Linked DNA regions of Mus musculus: all the other regions are reported to be linked to region 3. The links are microRNA targets in miRTarBase. Many come from high-throughput screens and were not tested one by one. Region 3 holds a microRNA gene; each other region holds the end of a gene's coding sequence. Distances are from middle to middle.
The links. The annotated mature microRNA mmu-miR-324-3p reads CCACUGCCCCAGGUGCUGCU and lies in region 3 at 2,136-2,155, shown strand. An mRNA with a match to its seed (bases 2 to 7 or 8) in the 3' UTR can be bound and repressed. Matches are read on the target gene's strand: a 7mer-m8 pairs with bases 2 to 8, a 7mer-A1 pairs with bases 2 to 7 and ends in A, and an 8mer does both.

Region 1 (5,072 bases), not on the chromosome of region 3:
AAGCAAGCCAGTAAGCAGCATTCCTCCGTGGCTTCTGCCTCCACTTCTGCCTCCAAGTTTCCACCCTATGTGGGTTCCTGCCCTGATTTCCTTTGGTGATGAACAGCAACGTGGAAGTGTAAGCTTAATAAACCCTTTCCTCCCCACCTTGCTTCTTGGTCATGGTGTTTGTGCAGGAATAGAAATCCTGACTAAGACACTGCCAGACTGAAGATCTAGCTTGATCCCCAAGGAAACTCTGTGAAGTTTCCTGGCCTCTTTCCCTTTGCCCCACCCTAACCCCACCCAGCCCAGTTTAGCAAAGAACAGAGCTTGTACAGTCACACCTTTTATTCATTGTCAGTGGGAAAAACACACACCACGTGGCACAGGGTTGATCAGTGAAGATGGTTGCTGTGAACACAATTAGAAGCAGCATGTCCGGAGGGGACAGGGCTACACTGGGGCTCCCATAGTGAACTGGGATACACCTAGGCTTCCTCACTGCTTAGAAGACCATGCACCTGGGCAGCCTCCACCAAGCAGAGGGACCCATGCATCCCTAGAGACCCTGTCCTACCCCATACTCCGACAAAGCTAAGAAGAGAAAACCCTGAAAAGTCTAGGGGGTAGAAAACAAAACCCATGTTTTTCTGAGACTTTAAAATTTAGCACGTGACTTCTTTGCTTCCTTTAAGCACAATGAAGCAGCTATGTAGGAAATGTATTCTTAGCCCCGTGGTGATTTCTAAAGCCAACACAAAGCCTCACCCAGGGTGGATCTTCAGGAAATGACTTTTGCTTTAATAAATTTTGTGTAAAAATATTTACAGTGTCTGCTCACTGCCCTGCCTGGGAAGACCAGCGTGTCCTTTTCTTGCTTCCATAACCTTCTGCGTTAAATGGATTTCTGCTTTTGAGGCTCTGCCATTGCCAGAGCAGAGAGGAATTGGTGCCTTGGCCAATGGGCTTGGCTTTCTCTTCATTTCAAAGGTACGCGAGTAATTACGCAGCTGCACGGATCGCAGCGGCACACAAGGCAGCCTACGCTGGGGATTTTTAGGGATGAGAAATAAGGGGCTCATCACTTAGCCAGAAAGGATGAATGAGGATAGCAGGCATGAGAAGGCTAAATTTGGAACCACCAGATTCACAGACTTTTTGTAAGAGGATACAGAACCTCGAAGGAGAACTTGGTATGCCAGTGTTTTATCTGCATTTAGGTTTTCATGCCTGTGCGAGTCATACCCAGATCTCTGCTGACCTGTGCTTCATGCTAAGTGCTTCCCAAGCCGGAGTGGAGATGGGAGATCTCTCTCTTCCCAAGGCAGGGACGGGCGCTCTACCACATGGTCTCCTGGGCATACTGAGTTTTAGACACCCAGGAGAATGTGGGAGCAAGGCTCGACCTGTCTGTGGCTTCTCCCATGAGCAAGAGGGCAGAGCCAGTTTGAGGCCTGTTGGCTGTCTGAAACCCTTGGCCTTAAGCAGCAAATATTGCCCGTGAGTGGGTGACTAGAAGCCTAGAGTGATCTGTCTCATGGGTAGGACTTGCCTACCAACTTGGAAAAAGAAAAGCAATTCTTTGGGGAAGGAAGATAGTGGAGAAGACAACACAAGATGCTTCCAGGACTTGATTAGCAGCCTCCAAGAACAGCACTGCAAAGCTGCCCAGAAGCTACGAGAGGATGCTTGAAAGTGGAGAGACTTCAAGCTCCTCCTCCTTTTCGGAAGACTGTAGCCTCAGCAAGTTCTTGGCAGGAAACTTCTGAAAGGATAAAAGTCGATTTGTCTTGCAGTTAGCATCTGGACAAATCAGATGGAGCAGAGAAGAGACTCTTGGAGAGCCTTGCGTTCGAGTCTTAGCATTGTGTGTCTCTCATACAAGAGACCTCTCTCCCTCAACCCTTAACTTTAGCTTCCAAGCCTGGGTAAAACCCTTATCTCCTTGGGCTGTGAGGACAAAATGAGATGCAGGCAGATACAAGCCTTAGAAAGCCAAGAAATTCTGTGTCATTGTGGGTTGGGCTAGATTAAACATTTGGGGGGAAGGAAAAGCTTTTCACTAGAAGATCCAGGTCCCAGCTGAGCAAGGTGGTTGGGTATTTATGTGTCTGTGGCACTGATGATAGCAAAAGACATGCTTAGCAGGCCGTGTGCCAGAGCTATGGAGCAACCCCACGAAGCATCACCAGATAAACAACTGCTAGTACCACTTGAGGCTAAGAATTCCTCACCCTTAGCACGTGGCCTGGATAGGCAGGTCAGGAAGAAGGTGGCTTGCTCCCTCCAAAGGCCACAAGAAGGAAAGTCTGACAGAACTTTGGACCACAGGTCAGAATCTACAAACATTTCTACCAGAAGGGAGGTGAGCACTCGGAAGTAAGTGGCAAATAGCGTATCTTCTGCAGGGCAATCTCCGCCACCACACGCCCCAGCTTCTCAAGCTCTCTCTACGCCCACCCTGGCTGACAGCATCTCTGTACTAGACTGTTTTCACAGCAGCTCAAGAGGAAGCCAACTGTCATCGCACATCAAAGCCAACCTCTGATCGCAAGGAAGCGTAGGCGAAAGTGAAGCGAGGAACTGGAAGAAGCAGGTGGATTTTTCTGGAAAGCATGCAGCACACTAGTTAGCTCATAGACCTTAAAATTCAGAAAGCGAGGCTGGTGAGCTTGGAAGGTGACAAAGTAGATTACCTGGCAGATCTAGGACGGAAGGGTTTAGGAAAAGCCTTTTGCACGGAGTACGCCCAGCACATTCTTTAAGCATTTGGTCCATAGATAAGCGCAGCCCCCGAAGCCTGAACAGCCGCAAGATCCCTTTCTTCTAGCTCCTTCTATCTTAGGCTGTGAAAGAATAAGCCGATCCCTGAAAAACCAACCCAAACTCAGAAACAAGCTATCGAGATGTGGGTATGCACTGTGCTTGCCCATGGTACCGAGATGTGGGAATGAACAGCGCTTGCCCATGATACTGCGCTATGGGAATGAACTGCGCATGCCCATGGTACCGGGCCGTGGGAATGAACTGCGTTTGCCCATGGTAAGTTTCGTTTCTTACTCTGATGTCAGCACCCAAGGTGTGCGACAGAAAAGTCACTTGTGGAATTGAGAAAAGGTAATAAAGGGACATAGCAGAGACAGCAGGAACTGCTGGTGGCGAGAGTACGGGTTCTCCAGACCTGATGGTGGCCCTACCGCTTTTGCCTAAACATTTTCCCCCCTTGAACATCAGCATTTTTATATTCATTTAAATCTTTTTTTAAGAAATCAAGTAATATAGAGTATATTTTTATAGTCTAATAAAATGATCTTATGTCTTTGAAAGGGCACTAAAAAAATAAATATTACATAAAATTTTGTTTTTCTTAAAACATCCACCCACGTGGCACCTAAAGTTCCACAGGTTTTTCAGTTGGACTTTCTGCAGCTTTGGGTGGCACCAGCTGGAGGACACACTAGTTCTGACAGCGTGCCAGCTACCTCACACCTTCATCTCCATTGTGTTCCACCATCCTGTCCGAGACTGCAACCCTTGGCAGTTGTCTCGCTACCCTGTGAGCTTCCAGAGGGCATGGGATGGGTTTCTGTAAACAACCGTATTCTTAGCACCTTCAGGTGCCTGGCATGGGGCAAGTGTTCAACAAGCATTAGCTGAAGAAAGGACTCACTGAACGTTCCAAAGACTGGGGCCAGAGGGGCCAGGTAGAGCAAGGGAGCAGGGCAGAGACCACCTCTCGGGGAATCCCGATAGCCCGGGACAGACCCGGTTTGGCCCTTTGACTGGGGGCCTGTGGGACCATGCTGTTTATTTGGACCATAATCCTGGGAACAACAGGATTGCAAAGCAAGTCCTCAGCCCCTCCTTAACCTCGCCTCTGGGGTCAAAAGCCAACTCTCCTAAGCCCAAAGGATGTTGGTTCTAGGCCAAGGCTAGAGGTGGAGCTAGTGACAGACTATCTGAGGACAGGCTACTTGAGAGGACCTGTCTCTTTTACAGAATGAGGTGGTGGTCGCTCGAGGAACTTGACTGAGGAGAGAAAGGCTTGGACAGAGGAGTGGGTGAGCTAGAGAGTGAGGCTGGAACGCCCCTCCCCCCGGGGGTGGGCCAGCAGAGAGGACATCAGGTTGGAAGGTTGCCATGCCTTTCCTGGCCAGGGGCCCTGCCCCTCACCGGCCTCTACTTCTGCATGTCACACTGCAGGAGCAACACGATGGACGGGTCACTCTTGGCCGCCTCCTTGAACTCCTCCAGCGTAATCTGGTCATCCTTATCCTGGTCCATCTTCTTGAAGATCTTGTCCACACGCTGCTGGGGTGTGAGCCCATCCTGGTTCATGCGCATCATGATCACGGTGCCCACCATCTTATAGATAGCCTGATGGAGCGAAGACGGAGGTGTGAACACCCAACTGGCAGGGAGGACTGGGGAAGAATACAAGGGATCTGGGGTGGACTGGGGGCACACTGGAGGAGGGTGGAGACACTAGAAGGAGAGTAGGGCCGTTAAGACTGGCTTTTTAGGGCTGGCTGGCTTAGCGGGTACAGGTACTCGCTACACAAGCCTGATGACCCGTGTTTGGTCTCCAGAACCTGCCTAAAGGTGGAAGGAAAGAACTGACTCCACCAAGTTGTTCTCTGACCTCACAGGGTCCAATCATGTAACTCTGAGGGGCCTGGAACTCGCTATGTAGACCAGGCTGTATTTGAACTCACCATGCAGACCAGGCTGGCTTTGAATTCACAAAGATCCACCTGCCTCTGCCTAACTGAGTGCTGGGATTAAAGGCATGCGCTACCACACCCAAACAACATATATGATATTGTTTATGTTATCAACCTAATAAGCACTTTAAATGAATCAAACTCAACTCTTTAACTCACTTCCCAATTGTCATGCCTCTAGAATTCCCTGTCTCAGCAAGCAAGGACTTATTCTGCTAGATTTCAAAACAAAACAAAATAAAACAACAACAACAACAACAAAACCCCAAGCCATTCTCTGAGACAATGTTTCTCATCTATAGCCCATCTATAGCTTGGAACTCAGGATGTTGCTCAGCCTGTCCTTGAACTCACAATCCTTGTGCC
Region 2 (5,071 bases), not on the chromosome of region 3:
CCCCCCCGCTTCTGCTCAGTGGCCAGAAGACCATGCCATCTGCTGAGTGAAGTTTAGCTGAGATTCTCAGCCTGTGTCTCTGGTCTTGGCTCCTGGCACCAGGGTCTTGAGTAAAAACTCCCTTTCTTGTCTTGATTAATGGGAATCCCAAAAATATTTTAATACTCACTTCTGAAGCTTGGGGTTATTTTCCTCCTTATAGTCATTGACATTTTTTTTTGAAGCAGGGCTGTGCCCAAGACAGAGATTGGATCTTCAGACTGCTTTTGTCCCAGAAGAGAGTCTCCTCAGAGAAAAGCTTAAGGAAGAGAGGCAGAACTTCATCTGAGGCACCAAAAGCTGCCCCAGCATCATGGGGCCAATGGCTACCCACAGCCAGTGACGGAGACAAATTCCCTCCCTGAAGCATTGGTGGAAGGAATAAACGAATAATATTCTTTAAAGCAGAAAACAAATGTAGTTATTATTTCAGAGTAATTCTATGACCACAGGCACAAACAAAGAAATGAAATATATTTAGGATGCAGCATGTCCCTAGAGGAGTTAACTTCTGGAAGAAGGTGTGCGGGGCCACACAGTGAGATCAGCCCTTACTGCATGGAGCCAGTGCACAGGAGCTCTCAGGACACAAAACCATGATAGCTGTTCTAGCTTTAAGGGAGCACCAACACCAATGCTAAGTAAAGAGGAGTTCACTAGGTGGTTGAGTTTGGCACATGTTCTGTCTCCATGGTGGGTACCTGGCCAGGAGTGATGAGGGACCAGATCCTGTGCCTCTTTCAATAGACATGTTGCTGGGGAGTTAACTGCTATGAAGGCTGATCTGGGTGAGAAAATAGGGACAAGAGCTGAGGCAGATCGCTGAAATGGGGATGGCTGGATGTGTTAAGGTCATGATAGGCCACTGTCCTGAGATTTTGAGGTTCTGGTTTTACTGTGGAACACAGATGACCCTCTAATCTGGCCCTTCATCTCTGCAAGATGGTACATTACCACTTCACTTTAAGCCCAGTCTACTCTTCCCTACTTTTCCCAGTTTCTGCTTACCCCATGACTGACTCTGATGGGGAATTTCCACCATCATCTAAGACATGTAGGAGGGAAGAACCTATGGATGATTCTTCCGAGTGTAGTACAGAAGTCCATCTCTTCCCATCGAGTGGAGTCCTAGGTCCCCAAGATCTGGGGTCTCCATGCTAGGGACAATTTTGTGAGGATTAAGTCCCACCTCTCAGTCTGAGGAGCAGCTCAGGACAAGATCTCCATGTAGTTTTCCTTTGGATGTGAGGGTGTCTGGCAAGAGGCAGGTAAGACTCAGACAATGTAGGAAAAAAGGGTCAAGGATCTCTCTGGGTGGCAGTGGTTGTCACCTTGGGATGCTTTATTTCTGCTATCCCCTACCTTCAAGGAACACCTCTGTTCACAAGCCTCCCCTTTCACGAGATGCCACCCAAGCTGGGTGGGTTTTTGGTGATGCAATTGCCTTTGTGTTGACTATGCACCAGTTAGTAGCATCTCACCCATCTTCTGCAACCCCAGTAAACTCATTGATGCATAAAGTAGGACTTTGGTTGTATTACTTTGGTCTATTGTCAGTTCCCTATATTGGTGAATAGACATCTCCCTAGAAATGATGCCAAACAATGTGTGATTAGAGGATGGGGAAAGAGACCCTGATCTTAGTCCCAATGTTTAATTCTGAAAAATATGCCCTGTCATACTCCAGGGCAGCTTACTACAGTATACTTTTGTGAGGGAGCCTGAGGGTAGGGGCACTAGGCTGACACTTCTCGTCATGGGTACCAAAGGGATAGGAATGATTCTTGAGGCTGATGCAAGTCTCCATGTCTCGGCCACAAGATACAATCCAGATGCTTAAAGACAGACTGGCCTTGTCTACCTGCCTCTGTGGCTTTGAGGTCAATGGAGTCTCTTTGGAACAAAGCACAGGCTATCCATCCATAGCCCACCCAAGAGCCACACCTACCTGTGGTTAGTATAAGTAAAGAGGAACTGGCAAATGGCCTTGAGTGCTGACTCTAGACCTCCTCTCCAAGGGCTGCTCTTTGGAGGTCTGAGATTTCTGTGAAAGGGAGAAAGGACCCTTGAGAAGGACTCTGTCCTGGACATTATAGGCCATAAGAACTTGGGAGACAGGCAAATACATATGACAATCCATCTTCCCTTGGGCCACCTGTCTGTCTCTGGCCCACAGGGGTGAGGTAAAGCAGAAGATTATGTCTTTAATAAGCAGGGAGCCCTGCTCCTGCCTCTGGGGGATGGACAGGGACATATCCCAGGGGTGCTGAGCACCCCTGAGCAGGCCTATAATATAGTATAGGTACATACCAGGAATGGCTTCAGAGCCTATTGGTGCAAGCCCAAGAAATCCTTGGCACTTAACTCCCAGATGGTGCTTCAAGGAGGAGCTGGTGATGGTGCCAGCCTCAGGTGTTGTGAGCAGGAAGGACCCAGTGCATGGTGCCCACCTACTGTCCCCACCAGCCATGCAAACTATTCCCCTCTCCCAGGACACCACGGCCAGGGAACAAAAGCCATGATTATCAAAGGACTTTTTTTCTTTATTTTCATAATTTAGCTGAATCAACACAAAAATTGGATACTGTAAAACAAGGGGGAAATATGCTGTAACATCTTAAGTCTCCTGGTCTCTGCCCTCGGAGGTCTCTATGCTAGCTTTCAAAAGAAACAGCCAAGGGGAGGTGGGGCGGATGTTGAGGTTCAGTGGTGAAATGAGACCTCCTGCCCTGTTGACCCCCTGCAACACAGGCCACTGGAGCCTGACACTTCGGAGACAGTGGCCTTGTTTGACCACCTCCTTTGATGAGAGCCCCTCATGTCAGCTTCATCTCCCTGCCCAGGATACTAATCTCTGCATGAGTGAAGGGAGGACACATGGGTACCGGAATGGGTCTCACAGAAATGGACTTTCTTTCCTATCTTTAGCCTATGGTTGCTGGAACGGCATCTATATACTGGAGTTAAATACATTTTTTTAAATGTTTGCCTTTAGTAGTATATTACTAGCATGATAGTCATGTTAATTGGACATGTAGGTAGTATGCTGGTAGCAGAACTCAGGAAAATGAATGGGGACTGTGTCCCTTATCTGATAGCCTCTGACCCCACAGTGTAGGGCAAGCAAGGACAGTGACTCTGCTCCCCAGCTTCTCCACCCCCTCCATCCCTGCTGTCTTTGCCTCCCAATGTGGAGAACAAGGACCTTTGAAGACGAAGGGGGTCATTCACCTGGGAAGGGCAAGTTGGCCGTACATGGACTCAAGATCTATGGATGGCAAAAGGGGTTAAGAGAGAGAGGGACCAAAATCCATGACCAAAATATTGTATACGCAATGTTTACCAACACACAGACTCACAGGGGGATGTGAACTATCAGACCAAACCAAAGCAAAGAGAGACAGAGCTTCCTAGAATGGGCAGGGTCCTCTGCACCTCACCCACAGCTCTGCCCGTCCATGTCTGCTCTGAGGTCCTCCATGGCCACCCCAGAGTCTCCAGGATCACAGGGAGGCCTGGCCACAACTCTCAGGATGGTCAGACCTGCCGTCAAATGTTAAATAGGATTTTCTACAAATATACAACATATAAAAACTGTTAAATATATAACTTTAGGCTTTTGCAAAATACATTTAATGATCTCTTTCAAACAGGGTTACTTCAGTTTTCTTTAATTTGCTTTCTGGAGCTAAATGGTGTATCAGATGAGATAGCAGTCACAGGAGACCCAGCATGCTCTTGGCAAATGGTGGATTATCCAACTATCAAAAATGGAGCTGTGGAAGAGGCATGTCTAACTGGTTAAAACAGAAAGTGATTTTAGTACGATAGAGTTGGTCTAAGCACAGGGGCAAAGGGTCTGTGTCCGGGGCCCTTGCTGTCCGCTGGGGGCCGTCGCCGGCCATGCCCCTGCTGGGTCCTGCAGGTGCACCACGGTGGTGTCCTTCTGGGCAAAGCCATCCTCTTAGGGCACGCTGCAGTGTTCGTGGGGCGGGGGTCTTGGCCTCAGATGCCCTCTCCATGCTGCCTGGGCCACCAGCATGTCTGCCACTGCGCCCTCCCCTGCCCCACAATCAAACCCAGGGAACTCTTGGCAGCAGGGATGTGTCCACGTTAAAATAGATTTGCTCTTTGGTCTATTGAGTATACTGAAAGTATAAGAAAATAAAAGCGATTCAGACAGTCTGGGACAGAGGGGGTGGTGGCTTCTGCACCTGACAGTCCCCGGACCTTGCGTTGTGGCCCAGCTGGCCGGGCCACAATTTCCTTGTTCCGGTCCTCCAACTCCAGGGAGCAAGCGGCTAGTGAGGATGGATGCAGCCAGGCTCCACACACCAGGTATTGCTGATTCCAGGTACCACCCTTGACATGTGTGTCTGAGTCCCAGCCTCCTGGGTTCAGCTGGACAGACTTGAGCTCAGAGCTCCGAGGAATTGGGCTGTCTTTGTTAGGCCTCTGGGAAACAGTGGGTGGATGGGGGAGAATGAGCGGTGTCCACATAGGATGCAGGACTGTGGCTGAGGTGTAGAATTTCCAGGGAGCCACAGCCACTCCCAGGGGGCACCGCAGGGGCTGCGATTGTCAGGAGACCTGAAGAGCAAAGACAGAGAGCTGTCAGCCTCATACTGAGGTCATCCAGAGTCACATTCCCAACACACACATTCCTTCTTGCCCACCATGGGCAAGTTTAACATCTCCTGGACCAAGATTGTAGACCTGGATGTCTGGGAAGATGGGCACTCTGCATAGATTAAGCCCCAGAAGTACCACGCCCCAAGGGAGGATGCCCTCTGTTGGGAACCCAGAGGAACCTCTGTATACTCTCCAGCCTGTGTTGGCCAGAGCTGCTCTAGGTCTTTTTGGTTTCCCAAGGGTGCCTGGCACAAACTGGAATACTTAGCATGAGTACCACACTGGCACAGGGGGGCAAGCACTTCGAACCTGACCCTTTAACAGCTCTGGCAGGAGAGAAGGTACCTCACTCCCACCCTTCAGCAATCAGACCCTAGAGAGCTACAACATCTGCAGGAGT
Region 3 (5,072 bases):
GTGGTACCCTGGGAAGAAGAAGGTGTGGGCTGGGTACCCCAGACAGCAGTCCAAGGAGGCTGGTGGTGTGTTGGGGACTGTGTAGCTGCCTTTGTTACTCTATTTATTTTAGTCACTTGTACAAAACACCAAATAAAGCAAATAGAGGCCAACTCCCCAAGCCTCTGGCTCCTTTCTTTGCGAGGCAGGCAGTGGAGAGGAGGGAGCAGTGACATTCACGGCAGACAGTGACTTGGTAGAAAATTTATTGTTAAGGCAATAAGTACTCCATCACCCCCATAAAGGGTTTTGGCATCAGAGAAGGCACATGACCTTGCCAGGGCCTGATTGGGAGTCTCAGATTCCCAGGGGGTTACCGGTGACCAGGCCACCATTCTCCACCATGGCCTTGGAGATGCTTCTGAAGTTCCGGAAGAGCTCCTGATGCTGAGGGCTGGACTGCAGACTGGCCATGTTTTCTCGGATCCGAGTTGCAGCCTGGGGAGAGGGAAGGGGAGGGACGGTCAGGCCGTCCTGTACTGGGGAGCTCCAAGGCCCACCTGTACTGGGGAGCTCCAAGGCTCACCTCAATGCACCAGCTATCACAGAGCATTTTCTCATGCTGTGCCGTCGGGTAGCCCTCACTCAGGGACCTTGAGGCTCTGTGAGGAAACAGAGGTTAAAATGATCCTGAGTGCTGGTGTTGGCCCAGCTCCTCTGTGGCTCTAGCCTGCCAAGCGTCCCTCGCTGCCGCCTTACCTGGACAGAACCACCACCATGGCATAGAGGTCAATGGCGCCGTCCGCCAGTCGCTGCAGCAGGAACTGCTCGTCTGTCAGGTAGATGAGGGTGGGGCTGTTAGTCGGAGGGAGGGAATCAGGGAGGGAAGGGGGTTGCAGAGCTCACTCACTGACAATCCCTTTCTTGTGTTTCACCAGCTTGGCCTCCACCACGGTGGCAAATTGATCCAGAGCCTGCACTGCCTGAAGAGACAAGAGTCACAGACAGAGCTCAGGAGAGGAAGGCAGCGCACAGCCACCGCAGGCTCTGCTTTAAGGCTCACTCACCAGTTCACCACTGCGACTTAACTCTGGGTGGACAATCCCTGACAGACTCAAACCACTGCCGATTCCTGTCCTCCTGAGAGGAGATGGAAGAGTGACTGGTCAGTTGCGGCCTCCCATCTTGTTTGACCCTGACTCTGACCCTGGCCCCGGCCCATGAGGTACCGTCTCAGCTGTTTGCCTGCTTCTCCCATCAGGAGGCCAACGTTTCCAAAAGGATTCTTCAGGGCATTGCCCAGCCCAGTGAGTTCCTTTCCTTTGTCCTGTGGAGAGAAGGGGGACGGCGACAGTGAGGACTCAGTGTCCTCCCCAGCTGCTCTCTCTCATCCTCCTTCCTCTTACCATACAGCCTTGCAGAGCCACAAACAGTCGAAGAATGTCATTTGCCCCTTCAAAGATCCGGAAGATTCGAATATCTCGGAGCACACGCTCCACCCCTGGTTCCTGGCACGCAGGAAGACACAGAAACCTCTGTTGAGATGTGCCTGTCCACTCTGAACAGATGCCCCCCCCTGCCGAGGAATACTCTGTACCTTCATGAAGCCCATGCCCCCCATTATTTGGATGCACTCATCTGCCACTTTCCAGGCCGCCTCCTGAGGACAGAGAACCAGATGAGTTGGATTTTTGAGCTGAGGTCCTAATCTGGACTCCGCCCTCCCATCACACCTGGGTCCTCACCGAGCAAAAGATTTTGCTGATGGCGGCTTCTATCTGGAAGTCTTTGAATCCCTGGTCCATGTTGGCACTCAGCATGTAAGCCATGGACTAAGGGAGCATGGTCGGGACATGGGGAAGACAACAGGGAAGGGCTGCATCAGACAGAATGGCTAATGCTCAGACCTTCAAGACCAGTGCTGATCTACTCCTCCAACCCTTGAATTCACTTTAGCCTCCTGGTCAGGTCAAATATGTCCAATATGTGACCCTCTGGTATATCAGGGGCTTCGAGGCTTCCGACTTTGTAAAGGGGTGGGTTAAAAGTCGTGTTTGGTGCATCTGGGCAGCATTTAGCAGAGCAGCACCACCCTCCAGAAGAGAACTGACTATGCCTCCTCGCATCCCCTAGGGCATTGGTGTAAAGCTGGAGACCCACTGCCCCAGGTGCTGCTGGGGGTTGTAGTCTGACCCAACTGTGAAGAAAGCCATAGGGCTCCAGGGAAGGGGCCCAGGAGGCCCTTACCTCAGTCACATACTGCAGAATAGCCATCCGAGCCAGCTTTTCCTGGATCACCCCAAAGTTGTGAATTTTGTCCCCAAACTGGGTACGATTAGTAGCATGATCAACCTGCAAGAGGGCGCATGTTACCCCACTGTGGTTCTTCAGTTTCCACCTGGACGGGCTGGAGGCCTAACTGTGCCGATGGTCGAGTGTGCATGTGTGTGTGTCGGCGCTCTGAGGCAGTCAGGGACATGTGCTAGCTAGGGACTGGGCTGGGACTCACCGCCTTGGCAATGAGGGATTTCATGGTGCCTGCGAGGGTTGCAGCCATCCCGAATCTTCCGTTGTTGAGGATGTTGACAGCAACCTTGAAGCCATCTCCCACCTCTCCTAGCACATTCTCTGATGGCACCTTCACTCCATCAAAGTACACCTCTGACGTGTTAGATGCTTTGATGCCCATCTTCTTTTCAGGGAGCCCACTGAAAAGGCAGGGCAGGAAAGTTGAGGTATGAACAGGTTGCTGTGGGGGAAAACGGCCTTTTCGGGTCTCATGATCAGGGGAGAACTCCCCAGACTATAAAAAGGATACAGGGCACTGCCTATGTGCCCCAGGGGCTACGGATATCTAGCTATGGCCTGTTAGCCTGTGTTCCCCCAGTGGAAACAAAACTGCTCACCTCCTGTGGGTGCCTCTTGTACAGAGATAGCCCCAGCGTGGCCTGTATTGACTATTTGCTCTTGAGAGCCCAGTGCTGTCCCCATCCTTGATTCTGTTTTGCCCCATACTCACTGGGTAACCCCTCCGAAGCTCCTTTCCACTACAAAAGCTGTGATCTTCTCTTTCACGGCCCCCGTGGCTGCATCTTTAATTGGCGTCTTGGCAAAGACAGTGAAAATGTCAGCCAGGCCCCCATTACTGTGGAAGAGTGAGGTGGTTAGTATAGGGTTTAGAGCAGCAGGGTCAGGCCACTGGGCTGAAGGGTAGAAGAGAAACGGAAGATTGCCTGATCCAGATCTTGCTCCCATTGAGAGTGTAATATTTTCCACAGGGGCTGGGTATGGCTGAGCTTCGGATGGAGGCTACATCGGATCCACTCGAGGGCTCTGTTAGGCAGAAAGCAGCCAAAGCCTGCCCTGTGGGGGAGAGAACGGGCTCACTGGGGATCCTGACCACCAGAGTTGCACCCCCTCATCCCCAGGCAGTTCCTTGTAACACCGTGAGCAGTGTCACACTCCTTACCCCTGGGTCTCTTAAGGTTGCCTTACCAGATGCCACTCTGGGAAGGTATTTTTCTCTCTGGGCCTTTGTGCCATAGAGCAAGATGCCTTTGAAACCGATGCTCTGATGAGCTCCCAGGGTAACGCTAACACCAAGGTCATGCATGCCCACAATCTCTGCCAAGCGAGCATACTGGAGGGAAAGGAGGCATCTGGGATTGTAGCTGGCTGCACTGAACTTGTCCTCAACAAGAATGGGCAGCAGGGCAGACCTGGCCTGGGGCTTGGAGCATCTCTACTCTGAGCATGGGGAGTGGAGTGGGTTTGGACAGGGCACAGGGAGGCTGGCCATGGGGCTCCCAGGTAGGCTGCTTCTCTAGCATGAAACCCTGGAGTCTTTCCTAAGGAGACAGGAGCAGGAACATCAAAGGGCTTAGATAATCCCCCCCCCCCCTTTTGAGGCAGTTTCATTTTGTAGCTCCAGCTAGCCTGAAACTTTGTGGGTTTCCCTGACTGTCCTGAAACTCCCTCTGTAGACCATGCTGGCCTTGAACTCGAGATCCGCCCGCCTCTGCCTCCATCCTCCATGCTGGGATTAAAGATGAGTGCCACTGTGCCCAGCTGCCCTTGGTCTTGATGGGAAGGTTGCCTGCTGTGTTGCCTCACACAGTCCCCAAAGACCTGGGAACCACAGTTAGGTCCACGGTCCTAGTGGGCTGCACACAGATCATGTTTCAGGGGAAAATGTGTGAGAAAAAGGGCAGGCAGGTAGACACTACTCTGGCTACTTGCTTGGCCCTAGTGGTGAGTCTACCAAAACTGGAGCACTGTGGAATGTTAACCAGGGGGATCCTCTCACCTGGGTATTAGAGAGGCCCAAACCACCCAGCTCGCTGGGTACTTGCAGGCCAAATGCCCCCAGTTCCTTGAGTCCCTGCAAAGTGTCGTCCTCCACCTTCTCCAAGGCGTCGTTCTTGGCAGGGTCATTCACTTCCTGAGCAAGGAATAGGAAGAATCTCATATTCAGAGGCTCCTTTAAGCTCCTTAGCATCTTACTTAGCCCAGGAGGGGCTGAGCTCTGGTCATCCCTTACCTCAAAGAACCGGGCCACTGGTCCCACCAGCTCTTTGAGAAATTGTGCCTGTTCTTCACTGAGCACTGTATAATGGGAGAGAAGAGCAGGCTAGTCAGGCAGAGAGGGCTCCCCTGCCCACACTGTCAGTGACTGACTAAGCCTTTACTTACCAGATGGGTATGGGAACACCTGATCAATGGTAAGCTGGCCTTTGAACATCCCCACAGCAAAGGACTTCGATTCCTAGGCAAGGAAGGAAAGGATCTTAGGTGGGTGCCTGGGGTGATTCTACTCCTGGTTTTTAAGTGTCAGTCCAGTTTCCAGTCACTTACTGCCCTGGCTGGTTTTTCTCTGGTGGAAGCATCAGAGGAGAGGGTTTCTGGCTTGTCCAGAACTGCCTGGAGGGAAGGGCAGAGCAGTTAGGCTGGAGATGGGTCTTAAAAGGTGTGCAGGAAGCGCTAGCTCTAGGAAGTGCGTTTGGTGCATGTTCCATTACTTTCTCACTAGGGCACCCTGGCGTGCCCTTTCCCCTACTTTCAGTGACAGAACTGCCACCAGGTGACTGGGTCGA
Region 4 (5,072 bases), 36 Mb from region 3:
GGGCCTGCGCTTTTCTCCATCCAGCAATAGCATCTCATCCACCTCCAACCTGACTCCCACCTTCCGGCCTTCTTCTTCAATTCAGCAAATGGAGATCCCACTAAAACCGGCATATGATAGGTCATGTGATGAGCTATCACCAGTATCTCCCACTCAGGGAGGTTATCCTAGTGAGCCTACCCGATCCAGGACCACACCATTCATGGGGATCATAGATAAAACAGCCCGGACTCAACAGTACCCCCACCTTCACCAGCAGAATCGGACCTGGGCAGTCTCATCAGTGGATACGGTTCTCAGTCCCACGTCTCCAGGCAACCTGCCTCAGCCTGAATCCTTCAGTCCACCATCATCCATCAGCAACATTGCCTTTTATAACAAAACCAACAATGCACAGAATGGCCATTTGCTGGAGGACGATTATTACAGCCCCCATGGGATGCTGGCTAATGGGTCTCGTGGAGACCTCTTGGAAAGAGTCAGCCAGGCCTCCTCTTATCCTGATGTGAAGGTGGCACGGACCCTACCAGTGGCTCAGGCATACCAGGACAACCTGTACAGGCAATTGTCTCGGGACTCTCGACAAGGGCAGACATCGCCCATCAAACCAAAGAGACCATTTGTGGAGTCTAATGTTTAAGAGACATTTGTTGGAGTGAGACCCATATGTTTTCACTGCACATTTTCAGGCTTGGTTTCCACATCTGAGGTAGTTCTCTGGCTTAATTTCTCATGTAGTTTCTGTGTGGTGTTCAGAGGTGACAGCCCACATGTTGAAATCCTTTGCATGCAGCTGACTGGGAAGCTGGCCTCTGGTGAGCCAGGACTTCAGTTTCTCGGGTCTGTGCCCCAGCCACATGCTCTCTCCCTCTCTTCCAATACCAACGAGGAGATTTCGTGCCGTGAGCTTTAACCAGGGAGATCAGACATACTGGTCGGCTTTTTCCAGGAGACAATCGCTTTCACTGATGTTCTTGTTGTGTGAATGTCTTTTTCCTTTTTAAAAAAGTAAGATGTTCTTGTTTGTTTTCTTCTAGAAGCGTTAGGACACGTGTGATGCCTTTCTGTCCTTGCATCCTTCCTCAGTGTTCACATGGCCAGCCCCAGTGCATCGCTGTGCCATGGTCTTCTCCCCAGACTCCAGCTCCCTGCAGGCGTCAGCTCTAGAATCTTCATTTCCTTTATTGCTGGTCCTTCTCTGGGACAAAGGGGTCTAGGGAGAGTGAGAGAGAAAGAGTAAGAGAGGAAGAAAGAAAGAAAGAAAGAAAGAAAGAAAGAAAGAAAGAAAGAAAGAAAGAAAGAAAGAAAGAAAGAAAGAAAGAAAGAAAGAAAAAGAAAGAAAGAAACGCTAAATTGATTGGAAGAAAAGCCCACTATAATTATCTGAAATGTTACTATGTTGGTTTTCCAAGAAGTGTTTGGGGAACTTTTAATAAACATCCAGCCCTGATTAGCCAAGGAAATTCCAGGAGAACTGTTGGTATTTTTAAAGTACTCACCAAGAGGTATTCTCTAGGCTTTAACTAACAGCTACTAAAGGCTGCTGATTTTCCACGGCTAGAGAAGGGAATAAGTATGGAGAAAGGAGGAGAAAGGGGGAAAGATTGTTCTTGCTTCTCACCAAGAGAAAGCTGTGTCAAGTCTGCATTTTAGATCACAAAAAAAAACCCTGAACAACCTCTGAGGTCTGGCTGCTGTAGTAACCCGACTCGATGCACTTTCACCTGGAGCCAGGCTTCGCTCAGCTCCATTGTCTCAAAACCAAGATGATAGTGTAAAGAGTTTCTTCCAGAACCTGCTTAGGTTCTCTTGGGACTGTAAGGCCCATCCCAGGGTTTCCACCCAGGCCACTACATTCCGTGTTGGCTGTTATCTAATTCCATTTTAAGACCTCTGATTTCATTATTCTCTGTTAAAGGAATTGTCTCTTTTATCTAAGAGTGTTAAATGGTAATCTTTGAAAATCAGAAACAGCCAAAAGTGTTACAGATTGCTCTGAGCACTGGGTAGGGGCATGAGATTGATAGTAGGCCTTTTCCTCCCTCCGTTTCCATTCGTCTTGTGGCTGTTTGCTAACCTGATTTTTTGAAAAGCTGAGACAACTGTGAGATAGGCATCAAGGACACAGGAACCAAAGCTGTAGCACAGTACCATCTCTGGGAACACGTCAGTTCTCAAAACCAAGCCACAGGTCCAGCAAAGTAACCATGTTGCTTGTTGCTACCATGTTCTTAGGGAGCATTTCTCATTAGTGAAGGGCTGCAGGAAGGACAATTTCCTGAACAAAACCCAGCTGTGATCTGTTTGGAATGCAGTTCTCTGATAGGATCTGAAGTCATGCAGAGCATGACACTGCAATCAGAAACCTTTCATCACTGATTTAGATTCTGCCAGTAGATGGACCCCAGGCCCCCCAAGCCTAAAACAGATCAGAATTCATCTCTGTAAGCAGGACTGCTTTTACTCTGATATAGAACTGCCCCATCCTCCTAGACTAGGATAGGCACTGGTCATTTCTCCCTACCTGACCATCCACCTGTCTTTATCTTCATCTCTCCCATCTGGAAGAAGCTTATAGCTGTGGGGTCAGCCTATAGCTGGGAGCAGCAGCCTCTCCAGTCCCCTTGTGGCCTGGACACAGCTCTGTTGGTCTCTGCATCACATTGTATCTTACCTGAACCACCTCTGAGGGAGCTCCTACAGTCCATTAATAAAGTGCTCCCGCCTGTTTGGAAAGCCACCCTTACCACCTTACCTGCCCAAGTGGGTTAGAATGCCATGCAGACCTAAAAATACACCACAGCTGCCACTATTACCCATGGTCCCTCATTTTCCCAGGAAAATTAAGAGAGTTAGCGTCTCTACCCCCACCTGAAATAGCAGTGTCAAACCACAATTATTTCCTATCCATTATAAGAGAGAGTGCATGCCACTACTGGAGCAAGTGGTTTTTGACTTAAGAACACCAATGGGAGCTTCCTGAGGCAGGAGACAAGCATCTTCCCTGGATGCAGACTGCCTGCCCTGCTTTGCTACTTCACTGCCATGGTTGATCTTAGTACTGTATTTTAAATGTGCCCCTCCCTTCCCAACAATGAACATTTGCCTGGCTTCAGGATGGAAGACAAATCTTAAATGAAACTGGCAAATTCTTATCACTCAATTCACATCACCCTTAAGTAGAGACAGGTGACAAACTTCAGCTTGTAGGTTTCTCACCCAAACATGTTCCTTTGCCCAAAATTCTTGCACTGGTGGGTTTCCATCACATCATGTCTATAAATGGGTGCACTTTACTGTTTGAATTTGTAACTCTGATAAATACTGGATATTTAAGTGTGAGTAATGTCTTCATTAGAAATTAGAGTCACTCTTGTCTCTAGTGTGTTTTTTCAAGAAAAAAAGATACAAGGAAAGAAATCAAGCAGTGGGCCACAGCATTTATAGCACAGAAATAACGTTGTATATAAGCCTCAAAGAGTAAGGATTTTTAAACACAAGAAAACATTTGCAGTGATTTTAAAGTGCTTTTCCAGCAATTTTCTTAGGGACTCCTGAGACATGGTTCATTTATTTACTGGATCAGTAAGGCACACAAGTAACAATTAAAATTATTGTTTATTTACAAAGTAAAGGGAAAACCTCTGTAACATGAGAATTCGGCATGGACAAATGGAGATCATTTTGTATCTGCTGTTGTGTCTGTCCAGGTTGCAGTCGTGCACTATTAGTCCCGAGTTAATAGAGCACAACCCCCTCTCGTTCCAGGTGCCCCTTTCTAGATGTGTTTAACTTAAACTTGATGGCTCAGGAAAATTCCACTCATTAGAATTGTGTACAGTATCCCAGGTTGTTGCCCAGATATCCAAGTTTGCTGATTTTAGTTAAGCCTGGATTATCACTTTTCCTAAATTATTATAAACAGAACAGCTTAGAGAAAGGTGTTCTCCTCCCTTATATTGTATAGTAGTTTATGATTCCCTCTAAATATTGGTATTTTTATATTTCAGAGATATACCCAATAGAAAAATTTTAAACCAGTATCTAATTTAATATCCATAAGTATTTTTCCTTAGAGTTTAGTCATATGCAGTGGGATATGTGGATGTCACTTGTGCTTCACCGTACTCTACCACTAGGTGTCACTGTGACCCTGCATCATACTTACCTGGTTACAAAGAATGGCTTCGTGGAGCTGCTGCCAGTGCAGCTGGCAAGGGGGCCCTACAGACTAGAGGTTCAGGAAGAAGGGAACACAAGCCTGAGGGGGCTTCCTGCAGCCATGCCCCTGTAGCAAGGCAGACTCTGGACACCACGTTTGCGAGGTTACATTGCGCTCCCTTTCTCCCCGTTAGAAACCGTTCCTCTCAGTTCACTCAGCCTCCGGCTTTTATAACTCCAGAAGAATCACAGTTGGGTGGTTGATTAAAGATGGTTATTTTTCTACTGCAGAAATGCCTTGGACAAAACCAGTTGCTCACTGAATCTTTGCCACACAATGGAACAGGCTCCCCAGGTGGCAGGATATGCTGCCTCTGTGCCCATCTCTTGTTGAGGCTCTGAGCGCTCAGCAGCCCCACCCACCCTACCTGTCTGCCCTCAGGCTGCCCAGTTCTCAAGAAGGGGTCTGCTACCGCCTTTACTCTGAGGGCCATACTGCCCTGCCTCGTGCTTGTTGAGAGGTGTGACTTCTCCTTTTCCTCTGGGAATTCCAGACTGACCATCTACCATGACTAACAATGAACAAAGGGCTTAGGGTAAGAGCTACCTACAAAGACGCGTCATGGAAACCTTCACCATGCAATGCCTTGAACTCAGCTCTGGCTGCTCCCAAGAAAAGGCAGCTGGCTAGGGGCCTGGACACAAGCACAACGGGGCTGGTGGAGCCACTGTGCAGAGCTACTTGAATATTCACTGGGTCTTCATCAACTCTTTTTGTAATACAGACCACTCAAGGGCTGAAGTGTTGGTAACCTTCATTTCGGTGTCCAATGCCTCACAGCAGCTGAGCCACCCTGAGATGCTTGTGGCCACGTGATGGCCACAGTCAGAGCTTTGAAAGTCAGTACCAA
Region 5 (5,067 bases), not on the chromosome of region 3:
AATAAAGAGAGAAAACACTGGATGGAGGTTTGTTCTTTATCCCACTGGGTAGCTGGGGTGCACTGAAGCAAACTGACTTCAGTAAAACCAGGCATGGGGATGGAGGGCAGACACCTATAATCCCAGGTCGGAAGATCCAAGTTCAAGACCAGCTTGGACTATACAGATTGTCTCAGAAAACCAAACAGCACAAACAAAAACCCCACAAAACAAATAAATGTTCTCAAGCACCCCGAATAATTAACTCTCTGCTTCTAGGGGCCTCTTAAGGCCTGTTCCAGGCTAACACGCATTGGTCCCTGATTGGGTCATGTGCCTATCTCTGAGCCAATCAGCATGGTCAGTGATAAACTGGATAAACTGGATAAGTTACTCAGATTGGCAGACACAATTCTATTTGCCCAGACCTGAAGCCACCACAGTATCCAGCAAATCAGAGTCGGAGGGGAGTGTGAACTAGTTCCTATGGTTGTCAGACAAAACCCAGGTCCCTCAGTTAAACCAATTTCAGGGAAGACAACAAGTTGGTTTTGTGGTATAATTTCACCCAGGCAAAAGTTGGGATATAAGTCATTTGTTTCTCTCACATTCAAACTTAAGTGAATGGTTGTGGGTCCAGGGAACTGTGGACCCGGCTCAGAGCGGAAGTAGGGTCATCAAGTTGTGTCCGGCCCTGGAAATATTTTCTCTAGAGTGGTAGGCTGCACCACTCCCTCCCGACTGGGGCCTGCATGTACTGGCAGGCAGTCCTTCCCCTGCATCTTTACACTTCCTTCCCCCTTATAAGGTCCTGTCCAGCAGTAGCACCTGGACTTCCTCCATAGTAAACGAGGCATCCCCAGCCCCGACCGGCCAACGCCAAGGATCCTCCCTCTCCCCAGAGATCCCTATCCACTTCCCCAAGGGTTTAAATCATCTTTGACCCCCAAATTAAACGAGCTGTCTCACTGAAGCCTCCTTCGGAGAGTCTGTTCTGAGGTCCCCTGCTGTTCCCACCTCCGTTTCCCTTTCAGGCCATAGGTTGAAATCTTGGGTATCACACTGTTATGGGTTGGGGAACAGTAGAGACCACAAATGGCCTGGACCCTTTTCTGTCACATATAGCAACTCTGATGACGTCCTCTAGAGAAGGCAAGGTGCTGCTGCCAGGAGCCAGCGGCTGATCCACGCTGTCTGATGGTCTAGCCTGGTGGGCGGAGATCAGCTGGGCTCCTTGCCATTGAAGGCCCCTTGCCATACCTGTGGTGAAAGGCAGTCCCACCTGGGTCACACTAGAGGCTCTATGGGGGACACTGGGCTGAGCACTTTATCACTTTAATGTGTGTGTGTGTGTGTGTGTGTGTGTGTGTGTGTGTGTGTGTTGGGGTGTACACATGTTCATGGAAAACACCAACTAGCTGTGCTGGGAGAATCCAAGGAGGGAGGGAACCCACTGAGTCCAGCGAAGATTCTGCTCACACACTTGGGAGCCATCTGAAGGTGTGCAGCAGAAGCCACATCAGAACTGGTTTGCTGTCCTCACTCTCAGGGGACAGTGAAGGTCAGGTTCCAGGATGATGGTTTCAACGGTCCCATCATTAAGGTAGCTCAGACCTGGCAAGCCCAGCCACCCGTGGTCTAGAAGAGTACTGTGCCATTCCTACCAGGGACCCCATGAGCCTTTTTAGCACTGGAAACAGGTTAGTCACACTCAAATCACCCAAGACAATCCATGATTTCTGCTTCATCTCCACAAGGGAAGCTAGGTTAGCACGCTAGAGACAATGAACGAACAATGAACATGAACTTGGCACATGTCCTTGTCCCCATTGTCTCTCAGAGAGGGAGAGACTCTCCCAAGGTCACACATCCAAAGTCTTGACTCTAGCCCAGGCTGTCTTTCAAAAGTCCGTTCCGTCTCATGGACACCATCACTACAAGTGACTGCAGATCTTGTGACCTTCCAGGTCTCACTTCTTTCAGGTTTAACCCCTGCCAGGGACAGTCTGTGATCAACCATTGAGAAGCCAAAGTACTTCTCTTAGGGCAAGGTCGAAGCTGACACTGTTGTCCATGCCAGCCAAACTAGTTCCCAAGGTATCAGGATAGTCCCAAGTGAGATGCTAGCCTTGGTGGCCTCGTGGGTGTGGTGCACCTCTATAAAGGGTGGCACTGGCACAAGCAGGCTGACCCGCTGGGATTAAGTGTCCCTACACTGTGAGCATGTGTCACCTAGGTCATGCACCTCCCACACGGTGTACAAAGAAGGCAGCCTGGCTCTGGGTTAGGATTGTAGATACTATAGTCACCAGCCTTACTCTCAACTCCAACTTGCCACAAGGCAGTTAGTTGACAGGCCCGGAAAGTCCCCAAACCTCTCTTGATTAGAGATAATAACCTGTGCCTGCCAAGGCTGTGGTGGGCTTCTATGAGAGATCCCAGCAAGCAGTAAGGCTGCACACTTGGGGTCTTGGATAAGCTTAATTTTGACAAGCAGCCCTCTCAGAGGCTGTTGCTGTTCCCACCATCCTTGCCAAGAAACAAGACGGCTGTAGTCAGACATAATTGTGTATGCCAGAACCCAGCACTTGGGAGGCTGACGCTGGAAGATGGTGAGTTTGAGGCTAGAATTGGCTACAGAGTGAAAGGAAGTCAGACCCGATAGTGCGGGCCAGCTCGCTGAGGGGCAGAGGAGGGAGAGTCATGAGTTCAAGGTTTGTCTGGGTTACAAAGCAAGTTTGGATTAGCCTAGGCAACTTTGTAAGATACCTCCTCAAACTAAAATAAAAAGGGCTAGGACATAGCTCAGGGAGAGTGAGGCTGTGATTAGATTCCCAGTGGCACAAAATAATAAAGAACCAACTTTGTTCAGGGTAGCCACTTGCTCAGTCCAGCGTATAGATCCTGGACTCTAGATCTCTAACCAGGGTGTTTCCCTATCAGATTTGCCCTTTTGGGAACCCCTGAAAACAGTTTTGATTGTCCCCTTGTAGTAAGAATTTTGGTTTCTTTAACAACACAGTTGTTATGTGACTATGTTTTTACTTTAATCCCAGGTGTGGGATAACAGGCTGCTTCACAGCAGGTGACTATGATTTGCCTCATGCACTGGCAGGAGCGTGATTTTTGCCATCTGCAAATAGTTGAATTCTGGGGACTCTGGTAAAGGTATAAATGGGTGAGTCCTAGCGGGCATGGGCGGCTGCTGCTCCGCCTGCTGTTGGACCCTGCTGCTGGTCCCTGCTGCTGCATTTGCTATTGCTGGCTTGTTTGGTGATATTCTAACTACAAAGATTGACATACCTAATGAGCAGGGTGTAGTCTAAGGAGGTCTATACCTCTTCAAATCTTCTTTCTCTCCTACCTAGTGTTGGGGGTGGAGGAGTTTGGAAGGGATGGGGGTGGAAGGGAGGGAGAGATATAAGAACCCAGTAAAATAGTTCAAAAAAAAAATTGTACCAACATCCCCTAGAGCTGTGCTCCTGGTAGTGAATAGAGGTCAGGCTCATGTAAAGAACAGTTTCCCAACAAAGTTATTTGACTCAAAATGTTGAAAGGACTAATCTGAGAAATACTGAAACAGGTCCTGTCCCCACCCCCTATACTTTCCCAGCATTCCTTGCAGCTGGGGACATACCCTGTGACCAAGAAGTGGCCAATGTGGCCTAGAAGTCAGCAGGGGCTGGTGGAGCACTGCTGACTGCCTGGTAGAACAGAGAGCCATGTCTCTCCAACCTGTCCTGTGGTTTCCTCCTGAACATAGGTATAACAGTCATACTGCCAGGGTCACCTGCCATGGGCACTGGCTAAGGTCCCTCCTCTGTTCAGGCCCTAAGTCAGCTCCTGGAGTTCCCACCCTCTGACTTCTCATTATTGAAAAATTCATTCCTCTCAGCTCAAGTCATTCAGGCAATGTTATTTACTGTTACTTATAAGCCAAACACAGCCTTGACAAGTACAGATGCAATAGACCAAAAAGGAGGAGATGAGATTTGCAACATCCTGTACACTAAAATAAACAAAAGGGCAAAGTGAAGCCAAAGTTCTCACCACAGCTGTAAGATCCTACACGATTTGGCTCCGTTCCTCTCTAACCCAAATGCCTGATGCCTTCTTCTCCAGCCACCCTGGCTGAACGTGGCCTCTGCACTTGCTCTGTGCTTCTTTCCAGGGGAGCTCCCCTTTTGCTCCTTGCTGTAGACCTCACCCCGCCTCTCATCTACCTGCTCACTATTCCACCCTCCTCTGCTCCCTCTGCACTGGTGAAGCCCCAGCCTCCTTCATGACCCTACCCACCTCAGTGTCCTCAGGCCCTGCTCAGTGTGTGAGCACTCAGATATTACAGAGAAGAAGGAAACACCCTTTGACCCACTTCACGGTGTTTATTAAGCCCACTTTTAAGATAAGGTTATTTTTACAAATCATCTGAAAATTTCTCTCTGATAAATAATACATTACTTCTCATTTATAGCCTTTTTGTTGTAGATACTGAGTCTCTAGTCCAGGATGACATCACACTCACAGTAATCCTGTTGCCCCTACCTCCCAAGGGATTATAGACATGTACCAATGTACCACCATGCTTGGCTTATGTACACATACCACCATGCCTAATTTCCAGTTCTCTCTCTCTCTCTCTCTCTCTCTCTCTCTCTCTCTCACTCTCTCTTGCTCTCTCTCTCTCTCTCTCTCTCTCTCTCACACACACACACACACACACACACACACACACACACACAGACACACACACTGCCCCACCACTGAGAATGAATCCATTCTGAGAGTCACCAGTCCTGTACCCTGTCCTGGACACTCTTCTCACAATTGGTCAATAATTCACACCACGCATGGTGGCCACCGTGGCTGCAAGGCGGCGTGGCAGGCCTTTGCTGACCTGTCTATATTCCTCAGGCTTGGCCTTCAAGAGCGCCGCAATGTTCTGGAGGGTTCGTGATGGCTGCAGGCCCAGTGCGTCCATCACGTTGATCAGATAGTCTGTGGGTGAGGAGGGGACAGGTTCAGCAGCATAGTGCATGGGGACCCCAAGGCCTTCCCAAATGCTGGGAGCTCCCTTGCAGGCAGACCTTC
Region 6 (5,072 bases), not on the chromosome of region 3:
GAGGTTTCAGTTGAGCAAAAGCGTTGGATTTAATGTGTGTGGTGTGTGGAGCTTGGGTTGAGGGTTGCCAGCGAGTCTGTGCACTTAAGACACTAGCATTTCACACATAAGCGGCATGAGGGGAGCCCAAGGAAGGCATGCCCTATGCCCATGTCCGAGGCAAAGCCACAGCCCCTGAGAGGCCCTGCATGCCTTTGTTACCCGAGAGAAACTGGGCGTCTGTTTGAAGGCATGATGATTTAACATACTTGGAACGGCTTCTCTGCTTCTCCATGGAAGAACACAGTCCACTCCATTAAGAGAACAGCCCTCGAGGGGTAAAATTAGAAAGTTAAACTGAGCGGTATTGGTAGGAATTTCCCTGTGTAACATTCCTGTTGTGAGAGTCATGCAGAGAAGTTGCCCAGTGGGGAGAAAAGTCACAGGAACGATAGTCACCCTCAGCCATTTCCTCATCTTTTTATTTCCTGTGGCTTTTGTGAGTCATGGAGTTGACAGAGTGTGTTTGGGTTCCAGGGCGACACATCTGGAGACTATAAGAAGGCCCTGCTGCTGCTCTGCGGGGGCGAGGATGACTGAGAGCCGCCTGGAGCGCCCTGTGCCTGCTGCCCACCATCAGCTTTCCTCAGCACCACACTTGCTTGCATTCTGTGCCTGCCGCGCTGCCTTACACTAGTATGCTAATGACCAAAGGTGTCTTAGATGAAAGCAGTGTCCCGCCCTTCTGATGTTCTGTCTACAGTAGGTAGTGACCTTCCCATATCTCTCAGTCCAATGTCTGAGTTATTAATATTGTCTATGAATTGCTTTTTATATCCTTTTTTAAAGCTTCATTTATATTAAGTTAATAACCCTATTATCTTGATTGGAACCTTAGCGGTGAAATTGTGAACTCTTGGAAATGCTGTCAATCAAGCTTACTGCTCTAGCAGACCTGCAAAATTATGATGGTAGTATCCAAAACATTGGCGACAAATAAAAACATTCCCTTCCCTCCAAATCCTGTGTAGGTTTGTGTTTAGAAAGCTTATTTAACAATGATATCCCTTTGAAAGCAGGCACTTGACAGTAGTATTAGTTAAAGCTAAAACTATAGTTGGTCTTGGGGTACTAAAACATGCAGTATCGCAGACTGAACTTCCTAATGCGGTGAGGTAAAGGATGGAGAGAGAATGGGGGGTGGGGGATGGGAGGTGGGGGTAGGGTGTGGATGGAGGAAGGGGGTGGGGTGGGGTGGAGGTGCATGTGTTCCTCTGTGTGTGTGTGTGTGTGTGTGTGTGTGTGTGTAAAACAGTTTCCTGGTGGGATGAAAGCTGGGGAGGGGAGGGTCCCCTGGTGGGAGGAGGGGAGGTGAAGAGAAGAGATTTATTTCCTCACCAGCTAGGACAATACTATGGAGCTTCTACTAGCAGCAGAAAGAGTAAATTTTGCACAACCTAAAATTTCAGTGTGTTCGAGTTTGCTTGTAACTCTGCTCTTTACCTTCTCCTCCTCCTCCTTGAGATAATTGTAGAAGTTTCTTCCTCCAGTCCCATAGTCCCAGAAATAACCTAATGGCTCATAACCTAAGATAACCCATTTATTCTAATCCATGTTCTGCCACGAGGCTGGTTACCTGTGCTCAGGCACCACACGTCTGTCTCATCACAGATAACACAGACAGTACTCTTTAGGAAGCCATTTCTTCAGCCTTGCCTTCCTGTTTCCCACCTTTGGGTGCCTTGAAGTGGAGTTACCTTGACATTTGTACATATGCTATATACTCACGGCTACTTTTTTTCCTAAGTAAAATGTTAATATCCTTATTAAATAATGACAGCGATCTTTTCACAGACCTCACTGTTCTACAAAATAACCAAGGAAACTGTAAAAATTGTGTGTGTGGTAATGTGAAGTTGGACACCCCACCCACCCATAAACACACACACACACACACACACACACACACACACACACACACACACACACTCCCGCCCAAGCTCCATAGACGCAGAGCCCAGTCCATCACATAAGCGGTGCAACACACACTTGCCGGCTCCTGAGCGATGAGCTGACTGTGCTGGCCCACACCTGTCATCCGTACATCGAGGAGGCTGAGGCAAGAGGATGTTTCGAGTTCCAGGCCAGCCTGGGCTACAATAGGAAACTAATCAGAAAAAGAAAATGCTTTACCGTGTGCTGTATTTTCCAGTTTGTAACGCCCTGCTCCATCTTGCTGTGAACCTGCTGTGAAAACAGTAGTTCTTCTCAGATCACTTTTAAAGAGACTCATTAGTTAATCTGAATGAGAGCAGTGAACATGTATCTCTTCTTTGGAGAGACAGGCTTATACCACATAGCCTAAGCTAACCTTCATCTCCAGATACCATCCTCTGTATGTCTCCCTCCCTCCCTCCCTCCCTCCCTCCCTCCCTCCCTCCCTTTCTCTCTCTTTGGGGAGGAGGTGGTGGGTCTGGAAATTGACCCTAGCAGATCATGAGCAAGTATTCCACCACGGAGCTACACCCCTGCCAGAGTTGTCAAAGCTCTGCAGAATTGGTGCCTTTATAGACTGGTAAATAAAAACCAAGCCGGGACATTGAAACCAACATGGATGGACACTTAGGAACTTTCCAATCTTTTGCTTAAAATGACATCACAGTTAGAGACTTTGCCTTTCATAAAGTGGGCAGGTCTTAATTTGATGTGTAACAGTGCAGTTCCTTTTACAAATAACGTGTGTGAAGATAACCGGGCAATCGTGAGGAGAAAGATAAGATTAGTTCTGAACTTCCTCTATTCAGTTAAATCTCAAAATAGTAAACGTGGTCATTGCATAATAATTAAGTCATGTCCTCGTGTTTCGGGCTAAGAGTCTCTGGAAGTAAGTGTTGGCATGGAGTTAGAGATGCAGAGGGCTTAAGGAAAGAAGGCAGGAAGCAGAACAGGTCAGGTATCAGATACTTGTAAGCTCAGCTCTTGGGGTGCTGAGGGAGAACTGTTATGATTTCATAGCCCAGACTGGGCTACAGAGCAGAAAAAGCCACCACAATAATGAAACCTAAAAATGGTTTCATTTTTAGCAGGTGAAAGATAGCAGAAGCCCCTAACACGACACAGATCCAAGTTGCATCAAGATTTCTCTCTGCCAGGAATGGTGAGGATTGTCAGGGATTCAAACCCTGGATGATACAGTGTCGTCAGAAGACTGGTGAGGGTGGAACGCTCACGTGACAGAATGGGATGTGAGCCAACACACACTGGCATCACTTATCAAAGCTATGAGGGCATTTACTGTCTACCCTCCAACAGCACCCTGGGCACTTGTCCCAGTTATGCATGATACACACACAAGGCTCTCATCATGATAGTCTATTTTAACGATAACCTAAATATCCATCCATATAGCAGACTACTCTAATAAAGTAGTGCATAGAACTTATAATAGTTTTTTATGAATGGTGGCATGTCAGAGTCTCCAATACCCTTACTGAGGAATCAGGGTTGAGAAAGAGTACCCATAGCATTTCCTAACTCATGTTTGAACAGTAGGAGGTAAGGACAGGGCTAAAATTATAAATTAGCTTGTATCTATGTGAAGAGATGCTGAAAAGACATTGGAGGCAAGCATTAAATTATTTCGCTGTAGACAAGGAGAGCACCAATCTAATTTGCCCTTGATGGACTCTGTTCATGCCCATGGTCCTAAGTAGTTGTAAGCAGCGCCACCTTACGCTTGTCCAGGTTTTAATGAATGCTGTGTGGAGTGGATTTGGAGGAAGTGGTATCTGTAGCATGGTGACATAAGTCTTAATATGTTCAATTATTAAACTGATGTGTGAATACAGCTTAAGGAATACAGCTTAAGTAAGCTTAAAAGAAAATTACCTATAAAATAGTTGTAACTCTGGGGCTGGAGAGATGGCTCAGCAGTTATGAGCACTGACTGCTCTTCCAAAGGTCCTGAGTTCAATTCCCAGCAACCACATAGTAGCTCACTACCATCTGTAATGGGATCTGATGCCCTCTTCTGGTGTGTCTGAAGACAGCTACACTGTGTACATATAAATAGAATAAATCTTAAAAAAAATAGTTGTAGCAAGGCATTGGTGGCATACACCTTTAATCCCAGCACTTGGGAGGCAGAGGCAGAGGCAGAGGCAGAGGCAGAGGCAGAGGCAGAGGCAGAGGCAGAGGCAGAGGCAGAGGCAGAGGCAGAGGCAGAGGCAGAGGCAGAGGCAGAGGCAGAGGCAGAGGCAGAGGCAGAGGCAGAGGCAGAGGCAGAGGCAGAGGCAGAGGCAGAGGCAGAGGCAGAGGCAGAGGCAGAGAGGCAGAGGCAGAGGCAGAGGCAGGCGGATTTCTGAGTTTGACGCCAGCCTGATCTACAAAGTGAGTTACAGGGCAGCTAGAGCTACACAGAGAAACCCTGTCTCGAAAAAACAGAAAAAAAAAAAAAAAGCCTAAACAAACAAAAAGAAAAAAACCAAACAAACAAAATAGTTGTAACTTAAAGGCACAAATGTATATATATATTTATATGTGTGTGTGTGTATGTATATTATATATGTATATGTAACATATGCATATTTATTAAAAAGGTAGTTCCTTTAAAAAATAACTCCTGTAAAGATAATTGGTCAATCATTGACACCCTCCTCCTATGACCTTTAACTGCCTATGTATAACCCTTTCATATTGAAAGCAAAATAATCATAACTCCTTAGAAATGAAGGCCAAGGACTTGAAAAAAATAATTTACAGAGTAGGTGAAATAAATTATTTTGAAACATGTGAAATGATGGATAAAATCACTCATGACAGCAATGTAAAATAATATTACAGTGAAGTGCAGGTTTTACTTAACTAAGCAAAGATGAAGCAGGTGCGGATAAAGGCCTCACATGCCACGCCCTGCACAGCTCCAGGACCTGAGAGATGGTAAGGGAACAATCCGAAGACAGACGCACAGGTAAACAGAAATCTGGGATGGAATGGACTGGAATCTCTAATGGAGACACTGCAGCGTCCCAGAGGCTCAGAGTCTATTACACAGATTTGAACAGACAGGGGGGCTATTACAAACAGATAAACTA

Region 1: miRTarBase lists Hpcal4 as a target of mmu-miR-324-3p. Seed matches in the 3' UTR shown: 8mer at 820-827 and 7mer-A1 at 481-487.
Region 2: the mRNA of Tafa5 is a reported target of mmu-miR-324-3p. The part of its 3' UTR that is shown has no 7-base or 8-base seed match.
Region 4: the mRNA of Tanc2 is a reported target of mmu-miR-324-3p. Seed matches in the 3' UTR shown: 7mer-A1 at 3,511-3,517.
Region 5: miRTarBase lists Cog7 as a target of mmu-miR-324-3p. Seed matches in the 3' UTR shown: 7mer-m8 at 4,727-4,733.
Region 6: the mRNA of Anxa5 is a reported target of mmu-miR-324-3p. The part of its 3' UTR that is shown has no 7-base or 8-base seed match.

What each region holds. Positions count from the first base shown.
Region 1 is chr4:123,189,945-123,195,016 of GRCm38, reverse strand. It overlaps Hpcal4 (hippocalcin-like 4), which reads right to left. Exons shown (of 5, transcript NM_174998.4): 5 at 318-4,359. The coding sequence ends at 4,162. Among named protein-coding and RNA genes, the nearest start is that of Hpcal4, 9.0 kb to the right of the region's middle.
Region 2 is chr15:87,756,855-87,761,925 of GRCm38, reverse strand. It overlaps Tafa5 (TAFA chemokine like family member 5), which reads right to left. Exons shown (of 4, transcript NM_001252310.1): 4 at 2,562-4,629. The coding sequence ends at 4,621. Among named protein-coding and RNA genes, the nearest start is that of Mir6393, 37 kb to the left of the region's middle.
Region 3 is chr11:70,009,960-70,015,031 of GRCm38, forward strand. Mir324 (microRNA 324) reads left to right here and starts at 2,084; the gene lies at 2,084-2,172. It overlaps Dvl2 (dishevelled segment polarity protein 2), which reads left to right. Exons shown (of 15, transcript NM_007888.4): 15 at 1-150. Acadvl (acyl-Coenzyme A dehydrogenase, very long chain) reads right to left here. Exons shown (of 20, transcript NM_017366.3): 3 at 4,834-4,899; 4 at 4,672-4,744; 5 at 4,520-4,584; 6 at 4,286-4,420; 7 at 3,475-3,619; 8 at 3,213-3,342; 9 at 2,999-3,124; 10 at 2,489-2,687; 11 at 2,227-2,331; 12 at 1,725-1,811; 13 at 1,577-1,639; 14 at 1,386-1,487; 15 at 1,209-1,306; 16 at 1,047-1,119; 4 more. The coding sequence ends at 337.
Region 4 is chr11:105,923,077-105,928,148 of GRCm38, forward strand. Tanc2 (tetratricopeptide repeat, ankyrin repeat and coiled-coil containing 2) reads left to right here. Exons shown (of 26, transcript NM_181071.3): 26 at 1-5,072. The coding sequence ends at 640. Among named protein-coding and RNA genes, the nearest start is that of Cyb561, 19 kb to the right of the region's middle.
Region 5 is chr7:121,918,495-121,923,561 of GRCm38, forward strand. Cog7 (component of oligomeric golgi complex 7) reads right to left here. Exons shown (of 17, transcript NM_001033318.3): 17 at 4,345-4,974. The coding sequence ends at 4,808. Scnn1b (sodium channel, nonvoltage-gated 1 beta) reads left to right here. Exons shown (of 13, transcript NM_011325.2): 13 at 1-234. Among named protein-coding and RNA genes, the nearest start is that of Scnn1b, 56 kb to the left of the region's middle.
Region 6 is chr3:36,444,851-36,449,922 of GRCm38, reverse strand. Anxa5 (annexin A5) reads left to right here. Exons shown (of 13, transcript NM_009673.2): 13 at 517-1,000. The coding sequence ends at 579. Among named protein-coding and RNA genes, the nearest start is that of Mir7009, 28 kb to the left of the region's middle.